Linked DNA regions of Struthio camelus. The protein of the gene in region 1 interacts with the protein of each later gene in a pairwise test. Links are inferred from orthologs where the notes say so. Each region holds a gene or a part of one and is shown in the gene's direction. Other genes may lie near its edges.

The links.
Region 2: the proteins of TRIM63 (region 1) and TNNT1 interact in a two-hybrid assay, tested with the Homo sapiens proteins (2 studies listed by BioGRID and IntAct). The link is inferred for Struthio camelus from reciprocal best matches to the Homo sapiens genes TRIM63 and TNNT1.
Region 3: the proteins of TRIM63 (region 1) and GMEB1 interact in a two-hybrid assay, tested with the Homo sapiens proteins (2 studies listed by BioGRID and IntAct). The link is inferred for Struthio camelus from reciprocal best matches to the Homo sapiens genes TRIM63 and GMEB1.
Region 4: the proteins of TRIM63 (region 1) and MYOZ1 interact in a two-hybrid assay, tested with the Homo sapiens proteins (2 studies listed by BioGRID and IntAct). The link is inferred for Struthio camelus from reciprocal best matches to the Homo sapiens genes TRIM63 and MYOZ1.

What each region holds. Positions count from the first base shown.
Region 1 is NC_090964.1:7,165,878-7,173,766, forward strand, and holds the start of TRIM63 (E3 ubiquitin-protein ligase TRIM63), read left to right. Parts: upstream 1-4,880; 5' UTR 4,881-5,649; coding exon 5,650-6,246; intron 6,247-6,570; coding exon 6,571-6,737; intron 6,738-7,889. Other genes in the region: serine/threonine-protein kinase PDIK1L, read right to left, coding at 995-1,279. UniProt on the Homo sapiens protein: E3 ubiquitin ligase. Mediates the ubiquitination and subsequent proteasomal degradation of CKM, GMEB1 and HIBADH.
Region 2 is NW_027182594.1:268,161-275,305, reverse strand, and holds the start of TNNT1 (troponin T, slow skeletal muscle), read left to right. Parts: upstream 1-4,138; coding exon 4,139-4,166; intron 4,167-5,270; coding exon 5,271-5,397; intron 5,398-5,832; coding exon 5,833-5,879; intron 5,880-6,851; coding exon 6,852-6,899; intron 6,900-7,145. Other genes in the region: histone-lysine N-methyltransferase KMT5C, read left to right, coding at 1,549-1,568, 1,672-1,808, 3,045-3,576. UniProt on the Homo sapiens protein: Troponin T is the tropomyosin-binding subunit of troponin, the thin filament regulatory complex which confers calcium-sensitivity to striated muscle actomyosin ATPase activity.
Region 3 is NC_090964.1:6,168,085-6,175,529, forward strand, and holds the start of GMEB1 (glucocorticoid modulatory element-binding protein 1), read left to right. Parts: upstream 1-4,433; 5' UTR 4,434-4,544; intron 4,545-5,328; exon of another isoform or gene 5,329-6,184; intron 6,185-6,568; 5' UTR 6,569-6,629; coding exon 6,630-6,757; intron 6,758-7,445. Other genes in the region: uncharacterized protein, read left to right, coding at 1,039-1,344, 1,647-1,751, 1,972-2,328. UniProt on the Homo sapiens protein: Trans-acting factor that binds to glucocorticoid modulatory elements (GME) present in the TAT (tyrosine aminotransferase) promoter and increases sensitivity to low concentrations of glucocorticoids. Also binds to the transferrin receptor promoter.
Region 4 is NC_090948.1:24,694,175-24,701,086, reverse strand, and holds the start of MYOZ1 (myozenin-1), read left to right. Parts: upstream 1-3,912; 5' UTR 3,913-4,130; intron 4,131-6,228; 5' UTR 6,229-6,254; coding exon 6,255-6,330; intron 6,331-6,912. UniProt on the Homo sapiens protein: Myozenins may serve as intracellular binding proteins involved in linking Z-disk proteins such as alpha-actinin, gamma-filamin, TCAP/telethonin, LDB3/ZASP and localizing calcineurin signaling to the sarcomere.

The sequences.
Region 1 (7,889 bases):
GTACTATTTTACTCTAATCCCTGCATGAAAGCAGGTCAGCAACAACTACTGAGTTACAGACAGTTTACAAAGGCAAGAATGCTCTCTCAGGCTTGTACAGCTTCCAGTACAGTGGGATCTAGATAACCATGCAGTGTTATCACATGAACATTCGATTAAAAAAAGAAAAGAAAAAAGTCCTATGTTAGACATGCAAGAACAACAACAACAAAAGCTAAAATGATAAAAACTGACTAGAGATAATACAATAAACATTTAGTAAGCTATTGACTTTTAAAACCAGATAGGCAAGCTTCTGTGAGGGAATGTTTTAGAGTTGAGCCAGCTTCTTGACAAGGGAAGGAACTGGATGATCTTTCAGGGTTCTTCAAAGCTACTTGTTTATTGATCTATAGTATGTCTTCTAACTTGAAGGCAACTTAAGAAGACACCTTCAATAGCCACATTGGGGAAAGTGATATTTATTCCTCTGTTCCGTTATTTATCATATACTAGACCTTTACTCCTCTTTGAGGAGATTATTTACTCAGAAAAGAAATCAAAACAGCTCACTGTACTCTAGCAATTCCTTATTATTACTTCTGAACAAGTTTTAAGTGCTGGTTTCCTGAATCGAGACAGTTACTTCTTCTTCCAAGGACACCTCAGATTAAGGAATCTTTCAGAGCATCGTCTCAAGACGTCCATAAATACCTGTTCACAACAGCCTGTATCTCCGTTGTGCGTTATCTGTGCCCTTTCCCCAAATTATCAAAGCAGATTTGCATTAAAAAAAATCTGGAGTGGCACAGCTTCCAAATAGAAGATACAGGTGATAGTTTGATAAGTATGTTCTTCTAAAGATCTAAAATAATTTTTGGATGTCAGCAGTGCATATAGTCTCTCTTAACTAAGCATATCTTTAAAAAAAAAAAATTCTTAGCTACCCACCTCCTTCCCTCCCAGCTACAGGTATATGTTGTTACTCCCACCCCATTACCTCAGCTTCATGTACCTGTAAATAAAGGGAGGAACTGGAGCCATGGGACATCTTCTGCACCATACCATCTTTCTGCAAGATGCACTCCTCCAGATGAATGACGTTGGGATGTTGGCTCTTGATACTGCTAAGCGCCCAGAACTCACGCAGAGCTAGTTCCACGTTCTCTGGAGCATGGCAGCGAATCTTTTTCACCGCAACCCGTGCGGAGGTCTTCCTGACGACTGCTTCGTACACCACACCATAACTGCCACGGCCAACCTCCCGTATTAGATCGTACTTAGGCTGGCTACTCACCATCTTCAAGATCAAAGGTTCTGGGGAAGGGGGAAGGGGAAAAAACCCATAGAACTAAAACTTGTGAACAACTACTAATTTGCGTTTTCCCTATGTGACTTGGTGTAGCGACAGTAGGCCTTCAATTATTAGGGCACTGCCCCTGAACGTAACATCTCATAACACCACATTCGAGTGCTAGAATATCCTAGAACCTACTTTGTAAACCCATACCTGTTGCTAAGGAGCAGTTAAGAGAAGTTCTATCATTTCAGTCAGACTACTAAGATTGCAAATCAGGCCAGTTTTCAAGAATGCAGCAATTCAGACCTAGACTTGTACTTGAGATGGGATTATCACATATTCTCTTGCTGTTTTCTCTCAGTATCTTTTGCTCTATCTGTGCATGTAATAGCACAGTATCATGCTCAACCCATGCCTGGGATATCAGAGAAGAGGTTTAGTTGAAAGTTATGGTTAGGCAATAGCAGATTTAATTTGAAACTTCCTTTTAAGGAGGTGACAGGATAGGTAAACATTTTCTATTATAATTTAACTACAAAAATCTTTTCTGGATACTAGAAGAAGAGGATGCTTCAGAACACCTACTTTTTTTTTTTCCTCCAATTGTTACTATGCTTTTTTTACCCAGGCGCCTCTGAATAATCAGTTTAAGGTTCCAAAGAGTTAAAGAGGGCAACTGATTACAGAAGCTTTTACTCAGTATCTCAACTTCAGTTTTGCTGAACAGGGCAAGGATTTCAACAAAAACTAATATATTGTTCTATAAACAAAACAAGAGAGACAAACAAACAAAAAAACAGTGCCACAAACTTATGAGCCTCTCTACACACTTCTCTGCAAGTTTACAAACCAAAACACAACATCACCTTCATATAAACAAACCAGAATGAGACACTGACTACAGACAGGGAAAAAAAAAGGTTTGGCTAGCCAAACATCACCGGTCAGACAGAACTAAATGTAAGAAAGAAAGAAAGATCACAATTAGTAGATGAGAACTAAAATTTTTTTTTTTTTTTAAAGATTGCTAGTGATAGGTGTAACTCTCCTTCTGTCAGTAACCAGGCACTAAGGACCACATCGAAACAGCCCCTTGTCAGAGGGAGCCTTCTAGTTTTCCCAGTAGGAAGACAGACACAGGTATTACCAGCCTCAGGACACCATCGATGCAGATGTTTAGACCCTTTCAGGAGAGTTTTGCAGTGAACATTTACTGTAACACCTGAACTGCAACTGGCGTGAGCAAGGAATTCACTGTGCGAGATGCAGGTCGCAGGAGGCATCGCACCTGCGCCTGTAACAAGGCTAGGAGGAACAGATGATGGTCTGAAGGGGAAGACCCAATGGGCCAGTAACACCTCCCAAGCAGGGGAGGAAAGCAGGATCCATAACCTCAAGGACGGCCAAATCTAAGGAAATGACGGTGCTACTCGGACACTACCGCACCAGGTCCAGCATGAGCGGGAGACAGGCCCCGTCTCTGGCCAGGTAGGTGCACGCTGTCACCAGGGGGGCTCCATCACACTGCCAGGGCAGCCACCCACCCTCACCAGGAGGGCCACACTCCCACAGCAGCCTGGCCCAGGCCGGGAATGTCACTGGGGGGGGGGGGGGGTCACAGGGCAAGGCAAGGGGAAGCAATGCCTGCTCACGCCAACCCATCAGGCCAGCAGCAGGACAGGGGCAGCAAGCACCAGGCCTGGCCCCGCTGCCGGGCCCAGGCAGGCACCACACAGATGAAGCGTCTCTGCTCCCCGGCTGCCTTGTCAAAAATAACAATTACAGAATAAAACAAGTCACCTTTCCCCTCCACCCAGCACCACCAGGGAGGCCCCACAAGCAGCAGCCACGCAGGGACCCCACCAGCGCCCAGGGGAGGTCACTCCGGGGAAGGAATTAAGGCGGTTTCGCCCGTTTTCCACACCGCTCCCCCCCCGCCAGGCCCCGCGGGCTCCCCGCGGCCGCGCTCACCCCGAGGGCCCGGCCGGGCCGCGCAGCAGGTGCCGGGGCCCCCGCTCAGGGCAGCGCCGGAGGCGGAGCCGGGCCCAAGCTCGGAGCTTCAGTCCCTCACTGTGACGCCCCGGAGCCGCCAGCGCCGCGCTCCCTCCGCCCCGGGCACCGCGTTACCTCAGCACCGCCGCCGCAGCCGCCGCGCTCCCGCCGCCCGGCCGCCATTATAGGGCTCCCCCCGCCGCGCCGCCGCCGACACACCCCCTCCCCCCTCCGGCCGCCGTCGCCCCGCCCCCCGACGTCGCCACGCCCCCCAGACGTCGCCCCGCCCCCCCACCGCCGCGTTCCGCCCCCCCCACCGCCCCACCTCCTGATTGGCCGGCGGCGGCAGCGCGCGCGCGCGCCCCCTCGCGGCGGGGCGGGAACGCGCGCGCCGCCTGCCACGTGCGCTCCTTCCCGCGCGGCTGCTTTTTTTTCCCGTGCGCTCCTCCGTTCGCCCCGCCGCTCGGCGGCTGTCAGCGCTGCTCTTATTTATTTTATTCTGTTTTATCGGCTTTTTTTTTTTTTTTTCGCTTAAGAGAAAAATATGGAGCCTTCCCTCGCCAGGGAGCCTCGCGCCTTTTGGTGCGCTCTGGCGTCGTGCCAGGTCCCTTCCTCTCCTCCGTTCCTCCGGAGCGCCAGGCCTGGTGGTGCTTTTCCGTACAGCAGCAGTGCCGGCGCTGCACGGAGAACGGGAGGCCGCGGCGTGACCCTTCGCATGGCGGCAGGCCCGCAGCACCCTGCAGCCTCGGCCCCTCGCTGCGCACGAGTCCCTCCGGCGACACGGGCAACATCCTCCTTTCCTGCACCATCAGACTGGGTGCAAACGCGCTGCACGGTCTGCTGCGGCCTCGCACCTCCGGCCCCTCGCAGCGTCGGCCTGGCCGGGGGAGCAGCCTCGGGGCGGGGAGGTTGCAACTTAAAAAGGGGAGGGGGTTGCAAGTTCGAGGGGCTGCAAACTCACGCTGGAGCGGCAGATTTGCTTCACCCCAGCTCCAAATCGAGGACGTGGGCTCTGGCCACCCTGGCCTGCAGGGAGCCACGTTCCCGCGGCACCAGAGGGCGCGTGGCCGTCGCGGATCCGTTTGGGAAAAGGGCCGGGGCCGGCCGAGGGGCAGAGGTTCCCCTTGGAGCGGGGCTCCGCGCCGGCCCCAAACCCGCGGTGCCGTGGAGGCAGCTCTTCCCGCCAGCCGTGCACCGTCCCCCGCTTTCACCCCCATATTAATTACTAATCAGCCTGGCGGTGATTAGCCCGTCGCCATCTTCCCTGATCCCCCCCAAGCCAATTAGGAGCCGACGAGCCCCTTGCAGGCCAGCGGCGGGTTTGAAGCCGATTAGGGTACAACCAACCCAGCCGGTGCCGCGAATCCCCTTAACCGAGTCCAGAAGCAATTAGTTAATTAATGGCACGCCACCCCCCTCGCTGCCACCGGCCCCAAACGCGGCTGGGTCCGGCCAGCGGCCGCCGTGCGAGGCCGGGTGCCAGCGCCACCCGCGCCCACCGCGCTATAATTAACCCGCTGTCCCCTCTCGGCTGCCAACATTTACAGGTCTCCCTGCGGACCGCCGCGGGAGCTGGGCATCACAACCTGTTTATCGCCGCGGCTCGCAGATGCCACCCCGGCCCACGTGAGCCGGCGGCTTGATTTTATTTTTTTCTTAACCCCCGTCGCCTGCAGCAGCTCTCGCGGAAGGGGCCCGGCCTCGGCCCGCCGCCCCGCTGCTCGCCTCGGAGCCTTTCCTGGCTCGGGTTTCGCAAGGGAGGCGCGGGGTTAGCCGGGGCCGCGGGACGAGGGCGAAGGTGCGCCCCGGCACCGGCTGCTTTTGTCCCCGTCTCGGCCAGGCACGACTGGAACGAGCAGCGTCGCTCGGTGCCGGGATGGGGACCCGCCGGAGCGGCTTTTCTTATCGCTCCTGGGTCCCGTCCCGGCAGAGAGCGGGTGTGAAAAGCCCCAGCCGCTGGCTGATGCCCGTCGCCCGGGGGAAACCCGCACGCCGCAGCCTGTTCTCGTGGTGGCCGGGCGCCCCGGGCGCGTTCGGGATGCTTCAGCCTCCCACGTGCCGGGCCTGGGTCGTGGGGGCTTTTTTGGTGCCCGGATGAGTCGCTGCTATGCGGCCGGGGGCTTTCCCAGCCCCGAGTCATCGCCCTCCCGCCCCGCAGCCCCGCGGTCGCATCCGGTCGGCCAGAGCTCAGCGCTGCCCGAATTTGGGGCGGGGGGGGGGGACGAGAGCGATTTTTCTGCTTGAATAAACTGGACGAAGCAGGTCGGCGGCCGCGGGAACGGGGCTCGGCCGGGGGCACGACGCTGCCGGGGACGGGCCGGACGGGCTCGGGCACCCGCGAAGCCCCAAAGCGAGGTGCCCACGTGGCGCCGGGCGGGATGAGGAGCGCGAGGCCGAAGCAGCCCGGCGCCCCGGGGGCCGTGCCGGCGGCGTGTCCGGCCTCGTCGGCCCTTGGGCCGCTTGCACCTGGGCGAAGCGTGACTGCGCTGACGGCCCCGGCTCCGGTTTCTTTGTCCCGGGAGACGCTAAGCCCCCCGGCAGCGCGGGTGCGGACAGGCCGTCCCGAGCCCTGTTTACAGCCCGGCCTCCCGCTCGGCCCGGCGATTGCTCACTCCCATGTGATGGGTGGGAAACTCGACCCGCTGCCAATATTGTCCCTCCGCGTGACCGCAGCGCGAATTATAAATAGCCGCGCGGCCGGAGCGGCAGGCAAAGGCGGGTGGCTGCAGCCGAGCTGCGGGAGCTCAGCGCCGCCCGTCGCCCCGTCGGCGCCGGCAGAGGAGCAGCGACGCTTCTGGCCGCCCTTGGCCGGCCCCATGGATTACCAGCCCGGCATCATCCGGGACGGCAGCCCCATGGAGAACCTGGAGAAGCAGCTCATCTGCCCCATCTGCCTGGAGATGTTCACCAAGCCCGTGGTGATCCTGCCCTGCCAGCACAACCTCTGCCGCAAGTGCGCCAACGACGTCTTCCAGGTGAGCGCCGTGGCAAGGCGTCCCCAAAGCCGCCGGCGGCCGGGGCCGGTCCTCAGCCAGCACTCGGCTGACCCCGAGAAGCCCTCGGGCTCATGGTTTGTCCCCTGCACAGCGGAGCTTTCCGTCGCGGGCAGCGCGGGAGGCTGGTTTCGGGCACGAAGAGGTTGGTGGTGGAGGTGGCCAGGCCATGAGAGGTCCCCACCGGGGCGCCGAGCGTAGGGACGGCTCAGCGGGCCGGGGGAGGACGCCGCGAGGATGCTCACAGGTGCCACGGGACCCCCCGGTGTCCCCGGCCGGGGGACCCTGACACGGCTCTCCTTGCAGGCCGCCAACCCGTACTGGCAGAGTCGGGGCAGCGTCATCTCGGGGGGCCGTTTCCGGTGCCCGTCCTGCCGCCACGAGGTGCTCCTGGACCGCCACGGCGTCTACGGGCTGCAGAGGAACCTGCTGGTGGAGAACATCATCGACATCTACAAGCAGGAGTGCTGCAGGTGAGCCCGAGAGCCGTTTGTCCTTTAGGAGATTGCACCTTTGCTGGAAACCGTGGGTCCTTTCCGCTTGCTTGCCGCTTGCCATCCCCGGTCTCTTCCTCCCGATAGCGCAGCTGGAACGTTTTCGTTCCGACACCAAGAGCAGTAAAGTCGCGAGCGCTGTCCCTCGGGGAGGGCTGATCTCCCAGGGCTTTCGTGCCGCCGCGGAGGGCAGCGGGTCCTTCGGCGGCGAACGACAGCGGGACCCGTCCTGTCCTTAACGCCTGGCGTTTTGCAGATAGAGGTTTCAGGCGGAGATAAGGGGCGCGCGGGACAAATACCGGCTCCGCTTGCGAGAGCTGGGAATTGCCGGCTGATAAGGGACGGAGGGACGGTTTCAGGGGGAGGATCTTGCTCAGGGGCTGGAAAAAGCAAAGGCTCATGTTGCTCAGGGGAAGGGACCCAGCTGGGGTGCAAATGTGCCGGCGGCTCGGAGGGGGAAGGGGAAGGACAGCGAGAGGTCACGGCTTATCGAGGCAGGAAGGGGCTAAATCTATTTATAAAGGAGAAAGAAGAGGGTGAGAGCAAGCCCCGGCGCAACGGCTGCTCCCAAAACGGGAGCCGACGGGAACCCGCTCCCAAATCCACTGAATCACTGTAAATATTATTCGCCAGCCATGGGGACGGTGACAGATGTCAGACGACAAACATCTCCGGCATCGGAGTTTGCGCAGCAGGGAAGGCGCCCGGGCAGCGGAGCGCCCCGCGGGCCCCCCCGGGCGGCCGTGGCTCGGCGAGCTCGTTGCACCCCTGGCTTTGGGGTGAAATCCCCCGGGTTTCGGTTCGGTGGGGTCGGCTGTCCTAAAGGGGCACGAGCAGGTGGCTTCAGTTCGCCTGGCCGGGTCTCCAGCCACCGTCACGCTGCTCGCGGAAGGGGCAAATTGGCTAAAAGCCGCCGGGGAGGAGGGGGGGCCGTGTTTCAGCTGCCCCCGCGGCGCCTGGGGCTCCCCTGGCCAAGTCACGCGTTCGCCGCAAGGAGCAGAGGGCGAGCGTTCGTCTCGGGTCTGCGATAATACTACATTACACCACCACGGGTCTAAAATTAGGCTGTTGCGCAGCATCCCTGGCCCGTGGCCCCGGTGCCCCCGACCCAGGGCACCCGAGGCGCTGACC
Region 2 (7,145 bases), on another chromosome or scaffold:
CGGCCACCCCCCAGGGCCCCCCCGGGACCCCCAACAGCCCCCCCCGGGACCCCCAGCCACCCCCCAGGGCCCCCCCCGGACCCCCGGCCACCCCCCAGCTGTCCCCGGGACCCCCAACAGCCCCCCCGGGACCCCCGGCCACCCCCCAGGGCCACCCCTGGGACCCCCGGGACCCCCGGCCACCCCCCAGGGCCCCCCCCGGGACCCCCGGCCACCTCCCAGGGCCCCCCCCGGACCCCCGGCCACCCCCCAGCTGCCCCCGGGACCCCCAACAGCCCCCCCGGGACCCCCGGCCACCCCCCAGCTGCTCCTGGGACCCCCAACAGCCCCCCCCAGGGCCCCCCTGGGACCCCCGGCCACCCCCCAGCTGCCCCCGGGACCCCCAACAGCCCCCCCAGGACCCCCGGCCACCTCCCAGCTGCCCCTGGGACCCCCAACAGCCCCCCAGGGCCCCCCTGGGACCCCCGGCCACCTCCCAGCTGCCCCTGGGACCCCCAACAGCCCCCCCTGGGACCCCCGGCCACCCCCCAGGGCCCCCCCAGACCCCCAGCCACCCCCCAGCTGTTCCCGGGACCCCCAACAGCCCCCCCGGGACCCCCGGCCACCCCCCAGCTGTCCCCGGAACCCCCAACAGCCCCCCTGGGACCCCCAGCAGCCTCCCAGCTGTCCCCAGGGCCCCCTGGGACCCCCAACAGCCCCCCGGGACCCCCGGCCACCCACAGCTGTCCCCAGGGCCCCCTGGGACCCCCCAACAGCCCCCCCAAGGCCCCTGACAGGACCCCTGGCCACCCCCAGCAGCCTCCCAGGGACCCCCAGCAGCCTCCCAGCTGTTCTCAGGCCCCCTGGGACCCCAACAGCCCCCCCCAGGGCCCCCCGGTGGGACCCCTAACAGCCCCCCAGGGCCCCCCCCAGGACCCCCGGCCACTTCCCAACAGCCCCCCAGCTGCCCCTGGGACCCCCAATGGCCCCTCCAGGGTCCCTTGCGTGACCCCCAGCCATCCCCTAGGACCCCCAGCAGCCCCCCCCAGCTTTCACCAGGCTCCCCAACAGCCCCTCAGGGCCCCCAGCAGACCCCCCCATTACCCCCAGGACCCCCCAACAGCCCCCCAACTGTCCCCAGAGCCCCTGACGACCCCCCAGCAGACCACCCAGGGCCCCCAGCGAGACCCCTAACCACCCCCTAGGCCCCCAACAGCCACCTGGGACACCCCCAATGGCCCCCCAGGAGCCCCCCGTTGCTGCCTGGGGCCCCTGGCTGCCCCCCGACTCCTCCCCAGGACCCCGACCAGAGCCCTGATCGCTCCTGGGACCCCAACCGGTCCGATGGCCAAACCTGGGGGCCCCCAACCCTCTCCTGACCCTCCCGGACCCCTAACCAGACCCCTGCTTGTCCTCGGGACCCCCAACTGGATCCCTGACCACCCCCCGGGGCCCCCGACCACCCCCGGGACCCCCCCCGGGACGCCCCGACCCCCCCCCGTGCCTGGGGCTCCGGGGCCGGCGGGCGCCGCGAGCCGCTGCTGACGGCGACTTCTCCGCTCTCCGCAGACTGCCGGCCCAACTGCAAGGTAAGGGCGCCCGGACGCCGGGGCCCCTCGGGGCGGCGGCGGCGGGGGGGAGGGCCGGGGGGTGCCCGGACGCCGGGGCCCCCCGCGGCTGACGTGCGCCCAGTTCGTGCCCACGGAGGGGAACGCGGCCTGCGTGAAGGTGCTGCGGGACATCGAGCCGCAGGACGAGATCACCTGCTTCTACGGCGAGAGCTTCTTCGGGGAGAACAACGAGCTCTGCGAGTGCCGCACCTGCGAGAGGTGGGCGGGGCCTGCTGGGGCGGGGCCCGAGGGGCGGGGCCTGCTGGGGCGGGGCCCGAGGGGCGGGGCCTGCTGTGGTTCCCCCCTCCCCCCCAGGCGCTGTCCAGGGTGCTGTGGGTCCCCAGCTGCCAGGGTCCCCAGGGGCACCTCGGGGGGGTTCAGCGTGGGGTGCAGTAGGGCCCCCCGGACGCCTGGGCCCCCCCGGATGCCTGGGTTCCCGGGTTCAGTGCGGGGTGCAGTAGGGCCCCCCCGGACGCCTGGGCCCCCCCGGACGCCTGGGTTCCCGGGTTCAGTGCGGGGTGCAGTAGGGCCCCCCCGGACGCCTGGGCCCCCCCCTGAACGCCTGGGTCCCCAGGTTCAGTGCGGGGAGCAGTAGGGCCCCCCGGCCGCCTGGGTCCCCCGGCCGCCTGGGTCCCCGGGTTCAGTGCGGGGTGCAGTAGGGCCCCCCCCGGACGCCTGGGCCCCCCCCGGACGCCTGGGTCCCCGGGACACCTGGGTCTTCGGGTTCAGGGTGGGGTGCAGTAGGGTCCCCAGGACTCCTGGGCCCCCCCCGAACACCTGGGTCCCCAGGTTCAGTGCAGGGAGCAGTAGGGTGCCCCGGCTGCCTGGGCCCCCCGGCTGCCTGGGTCCCCCGGCCGCCTGGGTCCCCGGGTTCAGTGCGGGGTGCAGTAGGGCCCCCCGGACGCCTGGGCCCCCCGAACGCCTGGGTCCCCAGGTTCAGTGCGGGGAGCAGTAGGGTCCCCCGGCCGCCTGGGCCCCCCGGACACCTGGGTCCCCCGAACGCCTGGGTCCCCGGGTTCAGTGCGGGGTGCAGTAGGGCCCCCCGGACGCCTGGGCCCCCCGAACGCCTGGGTCCCCGGGTTCAGTGCGGGGTGCAGTAGGGTCCCCCGGACGCCTGGGCCCCCCGGCCGCCTGGGCCCCCGGGTTCAGTGCGGGGAGCAGTAGGGCCCCCCGGCCGCCTGGGCCCCCCGGACACCTGGGACCCCCGAACGCCTGGGTCCCCGGGTTCAGTGCGGGGTGCAGTAGGGCCCCCCGGACGCCTGGGCCCCCCGGACACCTGGGACCCCCGAACGCCTGGGTCCCCGGGTTCAGTGCGGGGAGCAGTAGGGCCCCCCGGACGCCTGGGCCCCCCGGACGCCTGGGTCCCCGGGTTCAGTGCGGGGTGCAGTAGGGCCCCCCGGACGCCTGGGCCCCCCGGCCGCCTGGGCCCCGCTCTGAGGCGCCTCTCTCCCGCAGGAAGGGCGAGGGCGCGTTCCGGCTGCGGAGGAAGGAGCCGGCGCAGCAGCCGCCGCCGCCGCCGCCCCCCAAGTACCAGCTGCGGGAGACGGACGGGCGCCTGCAGCGGGCGCGGGGGGGCCGGGGAGGGGGTCCGGCCCGGCGCTGCTGCTGCCGCCGCCGCCGCCGCCGCCCGCGCGGCCCGGCCCCCCCCGGCCCCCCCGCGCCGCCGCAGCCCCGCGTCGCCCTGCACGACTGCGCCGGCTGCCGGGGCCGCTGCCGCCTGCGCCGGGAGCCCCGCGTGCGCCTGGCCCGGCTGCCCCCCCCCGCCGCCCCCCGCCCCCCCGCCGACCCCAAGCTCGCCCTCTTCGCCCACGTGCGCCTGGGCCCGCTGGGGGGCCGGGGGGGGGCCGGGGGGGGCGCCGCGCCGGCCCCGCTCCCCCCCCCGCCGCCCCCCAAGCGCCCGGCGGCCTTCGGGGCCGCCCGCCGCTTCCGCCTGGTCGTCAGCCACGGCGCCATCGCCCTGGACGTGGCCGCCCACGACTCCGCCTGAGCCCCCCCCGGGGGGGGGCACCCCTTTCTGCTGTTGTTTTCTACCTTTCGGGGGGGGGGGTTTGTACGGAGCGGGGTGGGGGGGGCGCGTCACACACCTACCTCATGGGGGGGCCCCCGACAGCGCCGGACTCCTGGGCCCCCCCGGGAGGGAGGGTCGGGACCCTCCTTGGGGCGGGGGGGGTGATTCCTCCCTCTTCCCCCCCCCGGTGGGGCAGAGCTGGGGGGGGGTTGGTGCTACACTGGGGGCTGGGGGGGGGCATGAGGTTTTGGAGCAAAATCACTTTTTTAAATTGAAATAAAGACAAAAATAGGAACGAGCCGCTTCTGGTCTGCGGTCGGGGCAGCTGCGTCCTCGTCCGGGGGGGCAGACGGGGTTGCTGCCCCCCCCCCCCGCACCACCGGACACCTGGGTCCGCTTCAGTGCGGTGTTTTGGGGCAAAAGAGCAAGAAAACGGAGTCTGGAGACCAGCTTCTGCCTGGGCCCCGCAGGCGGGTGCGGGGGGACCCAGGCGTCCGGGCCCCCCCCCGCCCCCGCAGCCATCCTGGAACAAAGGGCAGGAATGTCCCCGACAGGTGGCGGGGACAGAGGTGACATCAAAGGACAGGAATAGGACCCAGGCATCCGGGCCCCCCCCCGGCCTTTGTTCTCCCCCTGTGGCCTTCCAAAGATGGGGAGCGGGCCCAGGCGTCCGGGGGCCCCGCTGTCCCCTGGGGCCCAGGCGTCCGGGCTGCCTCCGCTCCACCCTGCTGCCCCGGGGGGACCCAGGCGTCCGGGGGCCCCGCTGTCCCCCGGGGCCCAGGCGTCCGGGCTGCCTCCGCTCCGCCCTGCTGCCCCGGGGGGACCCAGGCGTCCGGGGGCCCCGCTGTCCCCTGGGGCCCAGGCGTCCGGGCTGCCTCCGCTCCGCCCTGCTGCCCCGGGGGGACCCAGGCGTCCGGGGGCCCCGCTGTCCCCTGGGGCCCAGGCGTCCGGGCTGCCTCCGCTCCGCCCCGCGGGCTCTGCTGCCCTGGGGGGACCCAGGCGTCCGGGGGCCCCGCTGTCCCCCGGGGCCCAGGCGTCCGGGCTGCCTCCGCTCCGCCCTGCTGCCCCGGGGGGACCCAGGCGTCCGGGGGCCCCGCTGTCCCCCGGGGCCCAGGCGTCCGGGCTGCCTCCGCTCCGCCCTGCTGCCCCGGGGGGACCCAGGCGTCCGGGGGCCCCGCTGTCCCCCGGGGCCCAGGCGTCCGGGCTGCCTCCGCTCCGCCCTGCTGCCCCGGGGGGACCCAGGCGTCCGGGGGCCCCGCTGTCCCCTGGGGCCCAGGCGTCCGGGCTGCCTCCGCTCCGCCCCGCGGGCTCTGCTGCCCCGGGGGGACCCAGGCGTCCGGGGGCCCCGCTGTCCCCTGGGGCCCAGGCGTCCGGGCTGCCTCCGCTCTGCCCTGCTGCCCCGGGGGGACCCAGGCGTCCGGGGGCCCCGCCGCCCCCCGGGGCCCAGGCGTCCGGGCTGCCTCCGCTCCGCCCTGCTGCCCTAGGGGGGACCCAGGCGTCCGGGGGCCCCGCTGTCCCCTGGGGCCCAGGCGTCCGGGGGCCCCGCTGTCCCCTGGGGCCCAGGCGTCCGGGCCCCCCAGCTATGTTTAGCCCCGACAGCTGCGGGGTGTCGGGTGTCGGTGACATTTCGGAGGCATTTTGGGAACAATGAGCTCGGGCCGTTGTTGGGCCAGGGGGTCCCGGGGGGCCCGGGGGGGGGGCGTCACGCGGGGGCGGGACGAGCCCCCATAAAGGGACCCCGGGGTGGGGGGGCGGCGACGCCGGCAGAGCCCCGAGAGCGACCGGACGAGGGAGACACCGGTGCCGGGGGGGCGCTGGGGGCTATGGGGGGTCTCGGGGGGCTATAGGGGAGATGGGGGCTATAGGGGGTGTAACGGGGGGTTATAGAGGATGACGGGCTATAGGGGAGATGCAGCTATAAGGGAGACGAGGGTATGGGCAGTAATGAGCGTTATAGGGGGTGATGAAGGGCTATAGGGGCTAATGGGGGCTATAGGGGGTGATGGGGGCTATGGGGCTAATTGGGGGCTATAGGGGCTAATGGGGGCTATAGGGGGTGATGGGAGCTATGGGGGAAGATGCAGCTATAGGGGAACATGGAGAGCTACAGGGCAGACGGGGCTATAGGGGCTAATGGGGGGCTATAGGGGGAGATGAGGGCTATAGGGGAGATGGGGGCTATAGGGGACGGGGGTCGCCCCCCCGCTCTCCTGACCCCCCCCAAAATCCGCCCAGGCGCCGCCAACCGCAGCCATGTCTGAGGCCGAGGAGGAGTACGAGGAGTGAGTGACCCCGGACGCCTGGGCCCCCCGGACGCCTGGGCCCCCGCCCCAGTCCCAAACTGGGGCCAGAGTCCCCCCAGTACTCCCCATTGCCCCTGTACTGGGATGGGCCCCCCCCCATACTGGAACTGGGACCCTCGTACTGGGATGGAGCTTCCCTTACTGGGACCAGGCCCCCCCCAGTGTCCCCTAGACTGGTCTAGCCCCCCCCCCCATACTGGTCTGCCCGTCCCTGTATTGATCTGGGCTCCCCCCATACTGGGATCAGGGTCCCCAGTGCCGCCGTACTGGGATCAGGACCTCCCCATACTGGTCTGGGCCCCCTCCACTGGTGTCCCCCCCCCCATACTGGTCTGGGCCCCCCCCCATACTGGTCTGGGCCCCCCACCATACTGGTGCCCCCCCCATACTGGTCTGGGCCCCCCACCATACTGGTGCCCCACATACTGGTCTGCCCCCCCATACTGGTTTCCTCCCCCCATACTGGTCTGGGCCCCCCACCATACTGGTGCCCCCCCCTTACTGGTCTGGGTCCCCCCATACTGGTTTCATCCCCCCATACTGGTGCCCCCCCTCACCCCTCTCCTTCCCCCCCCAGGGAGCAGCCCGAAGGTGAGTGACCCCCCCCCCGCAGCTCGTTAGCTAACGAAGGCCCCGGCTCGTCGGCCGCCCCCTAACGAACTGGGGGGGGGGGCTGAGCCTGGGGACCCCATTACCCCCCCCATAATTAAACCCCCTTAATAAACTCCTCTTAACTAACTCTGCCTTAATTAACCCCCCCCCAAGTGGCTCATTAACCACGGGTGTTAATCAACCTCTCTGCTAACGAAGCGGGGCCTTGGCTGCGGTTTGTTAATGGTTAATGAGGGTATCGGGGGGGGTCACTAATGAGATCTGGGGTGTTAATTAACATTAACGGCCGGGGGGGTCGGGGGGGTCCCTAACTCTGACCCCCCCCCCCGCGCCCCCCAGAGGAGGAGCAGCCCGAGGAGGAGCAGCCCGAGGAAGAGGAGGAGGAAGGTCAGTTGGATGGGACCCCCCCGACCCCCCCCAGACCCCCCGGGACCCCCCGAAACCCCAGGACCCCCCCAAAGTCCCTGGGACCCCCCAGACCCCCTGGGACCCCCTGAAACCCCAGGACCCCCCCAAAATCCCCAGACCCCCCAGAGCCCCTGGGACCCCCCCGAAACCCCAGGACCCCCCCCAGAGCCCCTGGGACCCCCCCAAACCCCCTGAGACTCCCCAAAACCTCAGGACCCCCCCAAA
Region 3 (7,445 bases), about 1.0 Mb from region 1:
GTTGCTGCGGGCCTTGTGGAGGAGCGAGAGGAGAGCGGCACCGCCGCCTCCAGCCTCACCAGTGACCAGCACCCGGTGAGTGAGGGCAGCCCCCGGCGCACAGCCCCTCGCTGGCCCCTGCGGGGACACCTGCGTCTGGGGCAGAGCCACCCATCCCAAAGCACAGGATCCCCACTCACGTCCCAGCCTGGCCGAGCTCAATCCCAAAAGGCGAGAGCCGCTGAGAAGCACCTGGGAGGAGCGCTTGTGCAAAGGCTGCCTTCCAAGGAGGTCCTCCAAACCTCCTGTTGGAGCAGGGGCTGCGTCCAGCAGGCTGCGAGCACCAGCAAGATGGCTCCAGCAGCCCTGCGTTGCCTCCTCCCTCCCCCTCCCAGACCCACCAGCCTCCCTCAAGGTCCCTTCCCCTCCGCAGCTGATCTCCTGCCTCTCTGAGCCGTTCTCTTTTCCACCCGTGTCCCCAAAGGTCCAGGAGAGCCTCGACGCAGAGGTCCCCCCTGCTCAGGCACCTGGGGTGCCTTCTGGCGAAGAAGATGGTGAGACGGGTAAGCCCCGAGTTGCCTGGGTGCACCGGGAGCAAGGCCGACAGGACGGGGGCACGGAGGGGTGCTGGGCTGAGCCGAGCAGCTGGCAGCAAAGGGCATCTCCTCCTGGAGATCCCCGGAGAGCTGGGGGCAGCTGGGGCAGACCTGTAAGGAGGTCTCTGGAGGCTGCCGTCGAGGCAGCCCATGGGCACACGGGTCAGGAACGGGAAGCCCTGTGGAGCCTCAGCAAGGCCGTGCTGCCCTGCTGCTGGTGTTTTCCTGCCTGCTCCAGCCCTTCGGGAACCTCTGCAGCACTCGGAGAGCGTAGGGTAGGCAACGGCTGGGCTTGCCAGCATCACCGCTCAGTCGCTCTCTCCTCTTCTCCCGTCTTCCGGCTTGTCCCCATGTCCCAGAACCTCCTGCAGCAGAAGAGCAGCCCACGGAGCCAAGCAGCGATGAGGTTATAGATGCGGCCGTGAGATACATCTCCAAATACGTGAAGGACCTGGCCGCCTACATGGACCAAGCCATCTCTCGGGGTAGGCAGCCGAGGGTGGAGGGTGAGGTCTTGGGCCCAGCGGGACCGGGCCAGGCAACAGGGGGCTCTCAGGGAGGAAAGCGGGGCTGGCACGAGCAGGGGTCAAAGTCTGCGCCCCTCCTCCTGTCCTGGAGGGGTCTGTCAGAGGGAACCCACTCAGCAGGGAAGTCCTTGAGGGCGTGGAGGCCTGTTTTCACCTTCTGCTTGTGTCTGCCAGAAATGGAGCTTGCCAAAGGGCTGCAATCATTAGCCAGTGCCTTCAAGAAGACTAGCACTCACGAAGAGGTAAGCTGGCGGAGACGGGCAGCCCCAAAGCTCTCCCCACAACCCCCAGCGCCCTGCTTCCTGGGCTCCCGCGCCAGCTGCCTGACAGGGCCTGGGCGCTGCCACCTTCTGCACACCTCCTGCCTGCCTCCCAGCACTCTCCTTGCAGCCTGCCACTACCCGGTCCCAGCCAGGCCTGGGCTTTGCCGGTAGCGGCCAGGCAAGCCGAGCCACTCGCTCTTCTCTCACCTTGAAGGAAGCACCTGCCTGCTCCCTGCCTGGTCGTGTTCGCTCTCAGCCACGTGTGTTTTCTCCTTTCTCAGCCCTCGGTGCCAACCCCGGAGACTCCTGCGCCATCTCTCGAAGATGATGTAGCTGAAGGGGAAGGCCATCACCCCGATGTGGAGCAGCAAAAGCAATGCCTTCAGGTAGGAGAGCTGCCCAGGACAGACTCTTGCCCCCTTCCCACACAGGGATGCTCGTGCACGTGCACGTGCACGTGCACGTGCAGGCACAGTCCTCACCCACACCACTGGGTGCAGAGTGGCTCCGGTCAGCCGGAAGGAAATGCTGGCCATCTCCCTGCTCCCTGGCAGCCTGCTGCTCCAGCCACGCTCAGCCTTGGCTCTGCCTCTCTCCCTGCTTCAGGCCCTTGGGGAAACTCTCCTCGTTAACCAGCAGCTGCTAGAGAAGATGGAGCAGCAGTGGCAGCAGGCTGAAAGGCAGCTGGTAAGTAACACGGAGTCTCCACGTTCGCTGGCCTGCTGCTCCCCGAGCCAGCCCCGAGGCTCACCGACACGCCAATGGCCTGGCAGATGCATCTCCCCGCTGTTCTCCTGGGGCACGGGAGCAGCGCGCCGGCAGCAAAGCAAAGAGCCTTCACCAACCCGGTCCCAGCGGAGGTGCTCTGCAGGCCAAAGCTCAGAGCTCTTCCCCTCCTCTTCATCCTTGCTCTTCCCCGTGGATCCTCACTCGTCTTCTTTGCTAGCAAAAGGAAAAGGCTGAGCTCTTCTGCCTGCCGTGCTGCGAGGACACGGAGCACAAGGAGAAGGAAGAGGCAGCCGAAGACGAGCAGCTGAGTGCCTGCAGCACCCCCAGCTCTGGCCTGCGCTGCTGGAGGATGGAGATGAGCAGACGGTGAGAGCAGAGCTGCTCTGGACGGCAGCCGCGCACGGAGCCTGCTCGGGGCTGCCCTTAGCCTGCGTCCAGATGCGCTGCCCCAGCCCAGCCAGGCCTGCCTCTCTCCCCAGGACACGTGCCCGGAGCGCTCTGCCGGCGCCCTCAAGCACCCGCCGCCCCTCTTGCTGCCCCGGCACGGCCTTACTTAGCCCACGCCCCTCTGGCGATGGAGCTCACCACTGGTGCTCCGCTGCCATGGAGGAGAGCCGGGGGCACAGCCGGGGCCTTTGTGCTGCAGCTCTGCTGGGAGGGAGGGCTGGCTTGTCCTGGCAGTGAGTGCCCAGGGCAGATCCCCAGCTGATCGCAACGCAGAGCGCTGGGCAGCAGCGCAGGCAGTTGGCTCCGTGGGCAGAGAGCTCGTCCTTGTGCCCTCTGAGCTCTTTCCCTTGCCTCCTCTCCCTCCTCGCAGCTTACAGAGCACACGGCAGCTCCTGCAGCCTGCAGCCTGGATGAGGGTTCTTGCCAGGCTGCCAGCAGTAACAGCCTAAGGAAGGGCATCACCCTCACGACGTGCCACACACGCAACCAAGAGGTATTCTTCGGGGGAGTCCCGGGCAGGGACATAAGTTGGGAGCTGGCCCGCAGGGGGGAACAGAGCGAAGCGAAGCCCTGCGAGCAGGGCGACCCCTCGCACTCTACCGGCCTGCGGGTGCCACCTTCTCCCACACCTCTGGTCCAGCATAACCTCAGCTGTGAGCCCTCTGGTCGGCAGTAGGGGACTGTGGCATGAAGAAGTTGTGTCCCTGGGCTGTCAAGAGGCCTCTTTTAGGCACCAAGCCAAGCACTCACATGCGCAGAGCTGGCCCTACAATGGTCGCCAGCAAGAACTGGAGTCCCAGCGAAAGCTGCTAACGTGTGCTTTGGGGCAGGTCTTCCCCAGCCCTCACGTGCACCCAGGAAGACCCCTGCTGCTGCTGCTGCTGCTGCTGCTGCTGCTGCTTTGGTCTTCATGGTGCTCTCTCTCTTGTGTTCTCTTTCTCCTCAAAACTGGAGCAAGGTGAGCAGGGCAGAGCTCGAGATCGAGCAGGAGTCGAGATCGCCAGGCAAGTTCTGCAGAGAAAGAAGCAGCAATCAGACTCTGATGCTTCTGCCCATGCAGACACAACCGCCATCCCGGCGACCATCATCCCTGCCCGCCCGCTGGTGCCTGCACACCAAGACTAACGTGACATCTCGACTCCCCTGGACCCCGTTAGACTCCCAGGTCACCAAGCCTGGCTGGGAACGCTCTGTGCCACGCTGGGGACCAGATGACGACCCCATTTGTGTCCTCTCTCCCCTTTCCCTCTCCACTGCTGCTGCTGGAGGCCCTGCCCGTACCTGGGGACGGAGGCAGTCTGGGCAGCTGCCAGCAGAGAGCAGCTTTCCTGGAAGCGAGGAACTATCGGGCTCCTCTGCGGCCTTCACGCCGCTGCGAGCCGAGGCCGAGAGCCCACGGGGCTGCCGGGGAGGAGGCCGGGGCAGCCCGAAGCCGCGGGCTCGCCTGGGGGCGCCAGGCCTCCCCGTCCTCAGGCGGAAAGAAGGGGACAGAGCCGTCCTCGCGGGCACCTGCCGCTCGCCCAAGTCGCCTGCCCAGCACCCCCCTTGCGCTAAGGGCAATAAACCGATGCCGTTGAGTTGTCGTGTGCCGCGATGATGCGTCGAGAGCGGGGCGCTGGGCGACGGCAGCGCGGGCGGGCCGCAGCCGGGCCGCAGAGCCACCGGCGCCGGCAGGAGCTGGGGCAGCACCCCGGGGTGGGAGTGGGTGGGTGGGTGGAGGGAAGGAAGTAAAGAAGGAAGGAAGCTGCTACCACCAGCCCACCCCGAGGCCCGGTACCCCCCGCAGCCCCCTCCCCGGGGCGGCGATGCCACCGGCCGCCCGCAGGGGGCAGCAGGGCGCCGCGCCCAGGCCTAGGCCGCGGCGGCGCCTTTAAGGCAGGCGGCGGCCGGAAGTGCTGGCGGCCGAGGCCAGCGCGGCGACTGCGCATGCTCAGTGCTGCCCGGCCCGCTTCGCCCTCCCCCTCCCCCTTCTCTCAGCCCCCGGACTCGGCCGCTCGGCGACGGTAAGGGCCGGCCGGCGCCGCGCTACGGGAGCCGGGAGGGGCCAGGCGGCGCGGCGGCGCGCGGGCGGGGCGGGGCGGGGCGGGCAGGGGGGCCCGGCCCGGCCCGCGAGGGGAGGGGGCGCCCCAGCGCGCGCCGCCGTACGTGCCGCCGCCGCGAGGGCGGACGTCGCGCGCCGCGGGGGGGGGGCCGAGCCGCTGCGTCCGCCCGCGGCGGGGGGGGAGGGGAGGGGAGGCCCCGCCCCTCCCCCGGGCAGCCCCGCCCTTCGGCGCCGGCCGGGGGGGGGGGCCGCGCGCCGGGGGGGGGCCCGCTCCTTCCCCCCCGCCGTGACCCTTGACCTCGGGGGCTGCCCGCGGGGGGGCGCGGCGCCCTTTGCCCCCGCCGCGCTGACCTCTGACCCCATCGCCTTCCTCCCCGCCGAGGGGCCGGCAGCGGCGGCCTGGCCGGGGGGCCGGCGACCCCCGATTGGGGGACCTGGCGTGGGGGGCCCCGGGCAGAGGAGACCGGCGCCTGCAGCCCCCCCCCGGCCCCGGCGCGGCCCCCCCCGCGCCGAAACGCCGAGCGAGCGCCGCCTTCTGCTGTGACTGGAGCGGCCGTGGCCGGGGGCCGCGGCCCAGGGTCCCTCCCGCCGGCCGGCGGCTCGCGGGGAGCTGCGCTGCGGCCGCTGTGAAGCCCGCAGCCCTGCCTCGCCGCGGGGCCGCCCGGCGGCGCGCCCCAGCCCGGAGCGAGGGCGCCGGGCAAGCGGCTCCTGTCGTCTCCTGCAGCCGGCGGGGCAGGGGCGGTCCCGGGAGCCGGCCCCCGGCCCCCCTTGCTTTTGCCAGAACGCCTTCCTGGTGCCAGACGGGAGCGTCCCGGGGGCCCGAGCGCGCGCTGGCCTCCGCCGGGCCTTTCCACGCCTCCGCCGCAACGAGCCGTGCCTCGCGCTTCAGCTCGGCCGGAGCCGCGCTCCAGTTGAGGCCGCGGCGGGAGCTCGGCCGCTGAGAAACCCTGCCTGCGCCCAGCCTCGAACGCAGCCGCCGCGGCCCCGTCGGCCCTGCGGAGAGGGACAATTAACAGTGCGGAGGCGCGTGCGGAGGCCGGTGCAGATGTCAGGAGGCTCTGAGCAAAAGGCGTCTCCCAGCACGCAGGCTTGGAGGCGCAGAGCATTGGGCATCGCGTAGAGGCAGATGAGGAACAAACTGGGGAGGGGTTCGAAACCCAAGAGGGTAATCTGGAACGGCGCTTGGAACGTAGCACTGAATTATTGTGGAGTGATGTGTTTCTCCTCTTCCCACACTCTTCATTCCCCCGCTCACAAAATCACCTTGGCGCTTTCCTGCGTAGCGGTAGGAAGCGGTCCCCCACAGCGCAGCAAATATCCCTGCGGGAAAACACTGCAAGGACCTTCTGCGTCGCTGCGTCTCGCTCCACCTCTGGCACGAGGAATACACACTTCTCTGCAGCTTGTGCGCAGCAGAAGGGCTCTGTCCCCGGCCCCTTGGCGGTGCTGAAAGATGACAGCATCACGCTGCCGCCTGGAAGGGTTCCCGCCTAGGGGCAGAAGCTCTCGCTTAGAAACCTGCCTCCCTGCGCTGTTGTGGCTCTTGCCAAAACCTAGCGTGTGGCTTTGCTTGGCCGGCACCGAGTCTGCAGGGCTGGGCTGGTAAGCTGCAGAGCCCCCCAAAAGACGCTGTGTTATCGGCCGTTAAAGTTATTAGAGGGATGGCATTGTGGGCAAGTGTGTGTGTCATGTTTGTATCATCGGATCAGATGTTCCCAGCTATCGTGATCGACAGGCGAGGAGAAATCCTCTCTGGAGAGAACGGGGGTATTGACAGATACCTGCTGTCTCTCTTTCGTGGTGAATTTACAATAATGCCTGGTTCCGTCTCGCAAGTCTGAGAGCTGCTCCGTGAAGCCCGCAGTGCCTGCGAGTCCGGAGCCGCTGCGTTTGCCGCGGCGGGGCTCTCGGGGACGATGCTTACAAAGCGTCCCTGTTCCCCGCCGGCGCATAGGCAGCGGTGGTCTGGTTCTTCCCGCGGCACAGCTCTGCCTCTGCTTGTCCGCTGCAGCACCGTGGTACCCAGCGACCGGCCTTCATGTGAGAGATGGCGAATGCCGAAGTGAGCGTCCCTGTGGGTGATGTGGTGGTCGTACCAAGTGAGGGAAACGAAGGGGAGAACCCGGAGGATACCAAAACCCAAGTGATCTTACAGCTCCAGCCGGTGCAGCAAGGGTGAGTGGTACACGTACTGCTGTGTCTGGGAGATGCCTGGCGGAGTGGGGGGGAGGCTGCATCTGGCAGCGTTGTGTGATGTGGGGACCGAGTGGTGCTGTGTTTTGCAGCAGGGTGAGGTTTTTGTCTGTTTTGATTTGCGCACGATAAAGGGAGAGAGAAAAATAAAACTGCCGGAAACCTCCCCAACGAGAACTTAAAATAGCTGTTGTGCGTCGCTGGCGTGGGGCTTCCGAGGACTGGGATCCTTCTGTGGAGATGTGTCCCCGCGATACCGTATCTGCATTTTGCAACGTACACAGCCACCCGCCAGCCAACGTGGCCGTGGATGCGGGGAAGCGGCTAGACAGGCGCTGGGCGGAAGCGGGCCAAGGTGTGCGGTCAGCGGTGCTGCCCCGGCCACGCGTTCCCCCGGGCTTCCTTTTGCTGCTCCCTCTCCGTCCTCAGGGTGGCTTTTTGCAATATTGCAGCTGTTTCACGTGGTGATCTGTGCCACGCACAGGGCGACAGCTTGTGATTGTGCATTCATATCTGCATATGCTTCTGTGCCTGCTTTTGTAGATCCTGATTGAAAACACAATGAAGCAGGGAGGTTAGAGGGAATTGTTTTGTGATGCTCTGAACTGGCAGCTGTTACGGAAGGTGGCTGCCACCAGGCATTTCATCTTATATCTGTATCAATCAGCAT
Region 4 (6,912 bases), on another chromosome or scaffold:
TTTTGGCAGTGGGAGGTTTGCAGCAGCTTGGAGGGGATTCCTGGGTGGTGGAGTGTGGGGCATGCAGGCAAAGAGGCCGTCCAGTGAGGAACATGCCTGAGGCACACCAGCTGTTTCAACATCTGCCCCCCCCCAGCTCTGTGATCAAATCCTACACGTTTCTGCCCAAGCCCTACATCTCACTGTGCATTAAGCGCCCTTAGCAGCAGGGGAGAGCCTGGTGTTAACTGTCTACTTCTCCCCTTGTGTCGCTACAACAAATTACTGACAAATCTTCTTCATGTCTTCGTAAAGGTGGAAGAAATTAAAACATATATGAACTATTTCAAAATAATAAAGCCCTTCTAGCATCTTCCCCTCCTTTTTTCTCCCCCTCCCCACTCTCTTCCTGAGGGGGAAAAAAGCCAAAGCAGGAGTTTTGCAACTTTTTTTCAGAACAGATCCAATTGGTGTGGAGATCTGCAGCCTGTGAATACTTTCAGCTTGTGCTAGTCCTGGGCTCCAGGGAAAACAGGGAACAGGGTCAAGGTTTAACTCTGTACCTTTGGAAAATGAAATTATTTGCCAGACTGACTCTGTTTGCCTGATTTTCACGTGATCAAAGAGTGCTCAGGAAACACCCATACTGAGGACTCCCTGTCTTAGCTACTATTTATGTCCACCCAGCACTGTGTGACAAGACAGATCTCATCTGCTGCTCTTAAAATGATTTTGGAAACATCAATTATTTGAAATTGTATATTTTGAATTGAAATTAGGTGCCCTGAGAGTCAGGAAAAAAATTGTGAAAACACAGGTCAGAGAAAGCAAAGCTTTGTGCAGGCTGTTCCTAAGGCCATTTAAGTGAAGGGTATATTTGGAAAGAGGAAGGTTGGCACAGTGAGATAGAGTTCCTTGTATGATTAAACCTCCTCCCTGAAGTGCTGAAATGTCCTGCAGGCAGCACATGTACTATCCTTGCTGACCTAAGTGGGAACTCCATGTACTCAAGCATGGATTGAATTTAGCCCTTAAAATCTCACTAGAGTCCAGGAAGGAAAAAAAAAAAAAAAAGAAAGGGCAGCTCAACAAGCCAGGCTTGTAATGATTTCAAACCCTGAGTAGCATGAGTGGGTGCGATAATAGTAAGAGCCCTCCATTACCTCTTTTCCATGCTGATTTCATCCTACTACAGAAGGCAGAGACATCAAATGGGAACAATATTCCCAGTGGTAAAAGCCATTGAGCTGCTAAGCCTGGCATTGTGGCAGGATATTTATAAATGAAATCAGTCTTTCTCTGCTAGACACACAAGCGACATTTCTAGATTATTGAACTGCACTTTTCTATCTCTCAGGAGAAACCGCCCATAGAGAGGAGAAAGGAGCAGGATTTAGTTCTTAAACAGGCAACTGAAAATGGAGACATCATTTTGTTTGAAGATAGAGAAGGAGGTGAAAGTCTCACCAGGACACCCAGGTCCTTCTCTGCAGAGCTGCTTTCCAGCAGGTCAGCCCCCAGCCTGTCCTGGTGCACAGGGTTATTCCTCCCTAGGTGCAAGACTCTGCACTTGCCTTTGTTGAACTTCATGAGGTTCCTCTCCGCCCAACTCTCCAGCCTGCCCAGGTCTCTCTGCATGGCAGCACAGCCCTTGGGTGTATCAGCCACTCCTCCCAGTTTAGTATCATCAGCAAACTTGCTGAGGGTGCACTCTGTCCCTTCATCCAGACCATCAATGCAGCTCACCCTGTGTATGGATATATGCACATGCAGATAGAAATAACCTCGAGGATCAGGGTTGCAAGGACAGAATGGGATTTCACATAGCACAGAATGAGAGCTACATATCACCTTTCAAATTGGAGCTGGCCACAGTTTCTCCAGGGATCAGAGCCTGACAACAGCCACAGGCACAACAACAACACTGAAAAGCCAGGACAACGGACTGGCCTAGACCTTGTATTTTGCTACTGCAGTTTCTGAGGAATCCAATGACTGGCCTAGGGACCTAAATGCTATCCATCAGCATCTAAGCAATAAAAGTCTCCTCGCTCGATCTTTTCCGCCTCAATCTCCTGTTCCTGAGCTCTGGATAAAGACTTTGCCCTGTGGTCTCTACTCCCAGTTTCTTCTTTCCTCTCCCTGCTCAGCCTGGCTCTTGCTTCCAGTTCCTCACCACCCTGTCCGCCTCTCACTCAAGACCTTGACTTGGCATACAAGGGGAGTACCTCATTAGGAGAGCATCACGGGGTATGAACAGCATCCCAAAGAGCACCACTGGATTTCCAAAGCAGGCACTGGTCACCTTGAGCAAATACCCAGCATGGTCCTCAATCACCCCAAGAGAAATAAATGTGGTGAAAAAATATTCCTTGGCCTGCAGTGAGGAGGATTTGGCCAACACTGAGAGCTTATTCTTCTGTGACCACCTGCACTTGCGCAGAGTGCGTGTGAAGTGCGGACAGATGATCAGCTGCGATGGTATTTGACACCCACCAGTTTTGTGCAGATGTAAATGCCCTCACCAGGCGTGAGGCTCTGTGATGGTGCCCACCGCGGAGAGTAGGTATTTACAGTTCAGTTGTGCCATCCCCCACACCTGTTTTACACTGGCACAGCTCCATGGGGCTACTCCCAGATTACCAGCTTCCAGCAAATTGCTACAGTGGTAGGAAGAGGGGAGAATAAGGGCTATGCCATAGGCACAATGTAATGTATATGCAGTGACCATGTGGATGGAAGCAAGAAGGAAACAGGAAACTTGAGGCCAGGAGATTGCCATACATTCCCTAGCTCCAAGTCACAGGGATAAAAGATGATTATTATCCATAGCTCTCCACCTCCTATCCACAGCTACAGGTTATAGCACTCTTATAAAGGACTATCCAAACAGCACTGGGGGGGTTAATGCCTTGTGATTGCAACGCACCAGTCAGACTGGGAAGTTTTATACTCTGCTGGTGCAGGCAAACACAACTGTGCAAAGTATACGAGAAAGGGAAAGTGACTGTTTCCCGATGATCCTTTATATCAAGTGTACTTGCAAGCCTCTGTGCAGATGATTCTCTGCTACAATCACAGCTTTGTTTTTTTTCCCACTAGACTCTATGTTTACTCAGTAGACAGCTTGGTTGGGCTCTGATGTGAAATAGGAAAGGACATGATTCTCTGTAGGATTCCTGCTGTATGTAGAAGCTTAAAAGTTTGTGCATCTTAGAGTATTTCAGTAAAATGAGTTAACTTTCCTTCCTCCTAGAAGCAGAACCCAGTTTGGTACGGGGAGAAAAACAGGTAGCGTCGCTTCAGAATGAGCAGTGGCTAAAGTAGAGGAATCATTTACACGCACAAAGCTACACTAAATGCAGTCAATCAACCCTATTTCTGCCATGAATCAGGAAATGAGTCTCCTTGCTGCTTGATTCTGTTGGGTTTCTTACCCACATTACACAGCTACTTCCTATAACTCTGTAAATGTGTTTTTCCTACTAGTTCTTGTTTCATGGGTGTGATTATTTTTATTCTGTGCTCTCTGACGTATTTTTTGAATCCCTGGCATTTTAGGAATTAATATGAGAGCTTGGAGGAAGTTGGGTTGAATGATGGAGTGAGGAGGAGGCGGAGGGAGGGTGTAGAAAAGAGCAAGACCTGAGAGAGTTCTTGAGGCATTACTGAGAAATAGGAGATTGAGGAGGTATTACTGAAGTGCAATAGGAGGAGGGAGAGGAACGGCAAGTTGATTGGAACAGAAGGGAAGGAGCAATGCACTTATGCAGAAAAGGGTGCCCAGTCTTCCTGGGAACGGAGGCGGTGACTGCAGGAGGCCTGAGGTGCAACCTTTTCCTCTCCCCTTTCCTCCGGGCTGGTGGTGGTGCTATCTGAGACCCTGCTCTCTGGGCTGTCAGCTATTAATAACTGCAGGATGCCTGTGCGAGCAGCCTTCAGGAGTCAAATTCACAGCACTCCACATCAGCACTTTGCGCCGGGCAGAGCCTGCCTGCACCCCGGCACCCTGGGTGAGCGGGGCTGCTGGACAAGCCTCCCCGCAGCGCCCAAAGGTGGGCTGGGAGGACGCTGCCCACACACTGCCAGCCTGCTGCCGAGCCCTGGGGCAGGCGCGTGAGCTGGTCTGAGCCTGGCACTACAAGCCTAAGGTAAGCTGACCTGGCAGCAAAACAGTTTGGAGCAGGGGCTGAAGAGGGTAAAGATTGGTTTGGTTTGCAGCAAAGCCAACGAAATGACTGCTGCAAAGACTGAAGCAGAAAAAGACAGAGGAATTACACCAAGGGATAGAGCTGATGGGAGAAAAGGGGAATTGTGGTCCTGGTCCTATGCACGAGAGAGTGGGGAGCAAGGGGACTGAGGCTCCAGCAGCCTCGCTGCTGTGGGGTGACAGATCGAACAGCGGTCCAACCGTGGCTCTGAGCCCCATCCATAGTGAAAGGCTGCTGCCCCACTCCTTATGCTAGACTGATTACGTGTGCTCCCTGATCCTGCTGGAGCAGCAAAGGACAGCAGAGCGGGACAAACCCGCCCTCGCTGCTCCTTGGGAATGAGCGTGCTGGAGGGGCACAGCTCCCTAACTGGGCCAGCCCGCCCTGCCTGCCCCAGGGAGTCCATGTCTGGGGGCGCAGACGTTTTCCCTCCATCTGCCACTCTTATGACCCATCAAATGAGCCATAAACTCCCTGAAACTCCTTCCCCCCATGTCTCCTGGCAGCATTGCCCTTTTCCTGTCAAGCAGGGCCTGCTTCTTTTATATAGCCAAGCAGATGTCCGGCTGCTCGAGGAGAATGCATGGCGTGTGCTTTATGGCTGCACCTGCTCACACTTGCTTTGGGAATACACCAGGATGAGCTCTTTTATGATGTGAACCACATAGGCAGCATCTCAATAAAAAATCAAACTTGGAAATCAGAAAGAAAGTCTTATCCAAGAGAATATCTGCCAATGTAATTGGGTCTGGTTTCATCTGGCCAGGCTGCTTTCAGCAGCTGTCACCATCTCTCAAAATCATGTTCTAAAAGGAGCAATGGTGGAAGAAAACTGTAGAATATTTGGAAAATAAAAACGTCTTGATCACAACAAGGGCAGCGTACACAGTCCTAGAGCCAGTTTGCCTGCTAGTTTTAAAAAATAACTCACAGCTAATAACATCTGTTTTGAAGCTCTGAGCAACTAAAGGTGTAAAGAGGCACAGCGACAGAGATGGTTAGTTACTCTCTGCTATTGCTGAACCCAATGGAAGTTTGGTCATTTATTAGGTGAGGATCTGTCTCCTTACATACTGTCATTTGGCAAGGACAGTGCAAAAATGAAGACATCAGCCCGACTTGCATTATGTGTGATAACCCCCAAGAAGGACTACGAGAACCTGCCCGAAGTAAAATTGCTGGGATTTCTCCTAACTTTTCCCAACTTAGCAGTACAGGTCTCTCATCCTACCTGGGGATAGAGATGGGAAACAGTGTAAGAGAAGAAATCTCCCTCTTCCTCTCCTTCTCCCTCCAAAATGACATGCAATAGGATGAATACATAAAATGCAGGTGTAAGTGACTTCAAACAACTTGCACCAACAACTCTAACAGGCCTGTGCCTTCTTCCTCCAGCCCTTTGTAATATATCATCAACAGTCATAAAAGAGAATGACATAGGGTTTTGTTTTTTGCATAACTTGCAGTCTGATAGGTTTCTGAGAAGCAATTCCAGTTCTAACAGAACTATCCAAATATCCAAACCAAGTATGGACATTATTCAAAATGTTCCCACATAGCTCGTGGGCAGACCCAACATCTTTATGTAAGAATATGTATTACTACCTAACGATATCCAAATGGCATTACAATGATGTTAAGTCATGACCGAGGAATTTTTCAAACTGACATTCTGCACTGCAGCACAACATGACAACATAGTACCATCATGGCATACACAGGTGCCGGGAGGCTGCAGTGCTGCAATTATACTGTCTATTCTGGGTGGCAACGCTATGTGGTAGTGAAGCAATGCTTCTTCTGTAATCTGTTACCATATTTTGTGCCTTAACACGAAGTCTCCACAGAGCCCCACAACGGCCTAATGCTGATATTCTGTCTGAGATGATACTGTTTACTAGCTCCTTTATGTGAGAGAGATGGAAAAGAATCTGCATGTGAAATGAAGATCCTGTGTCTCTTAACTGTAGAGGGAAACTAAAAGAGGGGCAAGAGACCTTTCCAGTGTTTCATTCTCCATTTCCTTCTGTGTGTTTAGAGCAAAGCAGAGAACCCTTTGTGGGAATGCCCCTAGCAGGGACTCCTGCTCCTGTTAAAAGAAAAAAGTCCACTAAACTCATTGGGAAGCTGACACACGAAGGTAAGATATGTAAACTGCATATATGAGAACTGTTTGGATTTCAACCTGAATTTCAGCCTTTAAAATCTCACACCCTATCCAGCTGAGCTCCCAGAGAAAGGTATGCAGTGAACACACCAGGAGGCAGGGCCACCATTGCAAAAGCTCAGCCTCTAACGACATCATATGTCATAATTTTCTTTTCAAAAGTGTTGCATACACACTCAAGTCAAATTCTAGTCTGGATTACACTTTCTAAACCCACTGTCTCCTGTGGCATTAATCTGGATGCATACCAGTGTGAATGGAAAGATAATACGATAATTTATAGATATCAATATTGCTGCGTCTAGTTATGCTCTGTGCTGATCTTTTCTCTCATCACCTTTGTCCTTCATTTGGTTTTCCTCTGTGTGAGAGCATTCCTTTGATTCCAGCACTCACTAGTGGGAAAAGTCAAATTTTCTCAGTGGGGCTAATACAGCAGGAGGGATGTAACATGGGACCCTTTTCCTTCTACAGAGTACATGCATATAGGGTGAGCTTTAATCAGCCGTGACAGCCTCATCTTCTCCCTTTGACAGCATGGCACATACTTGCAGC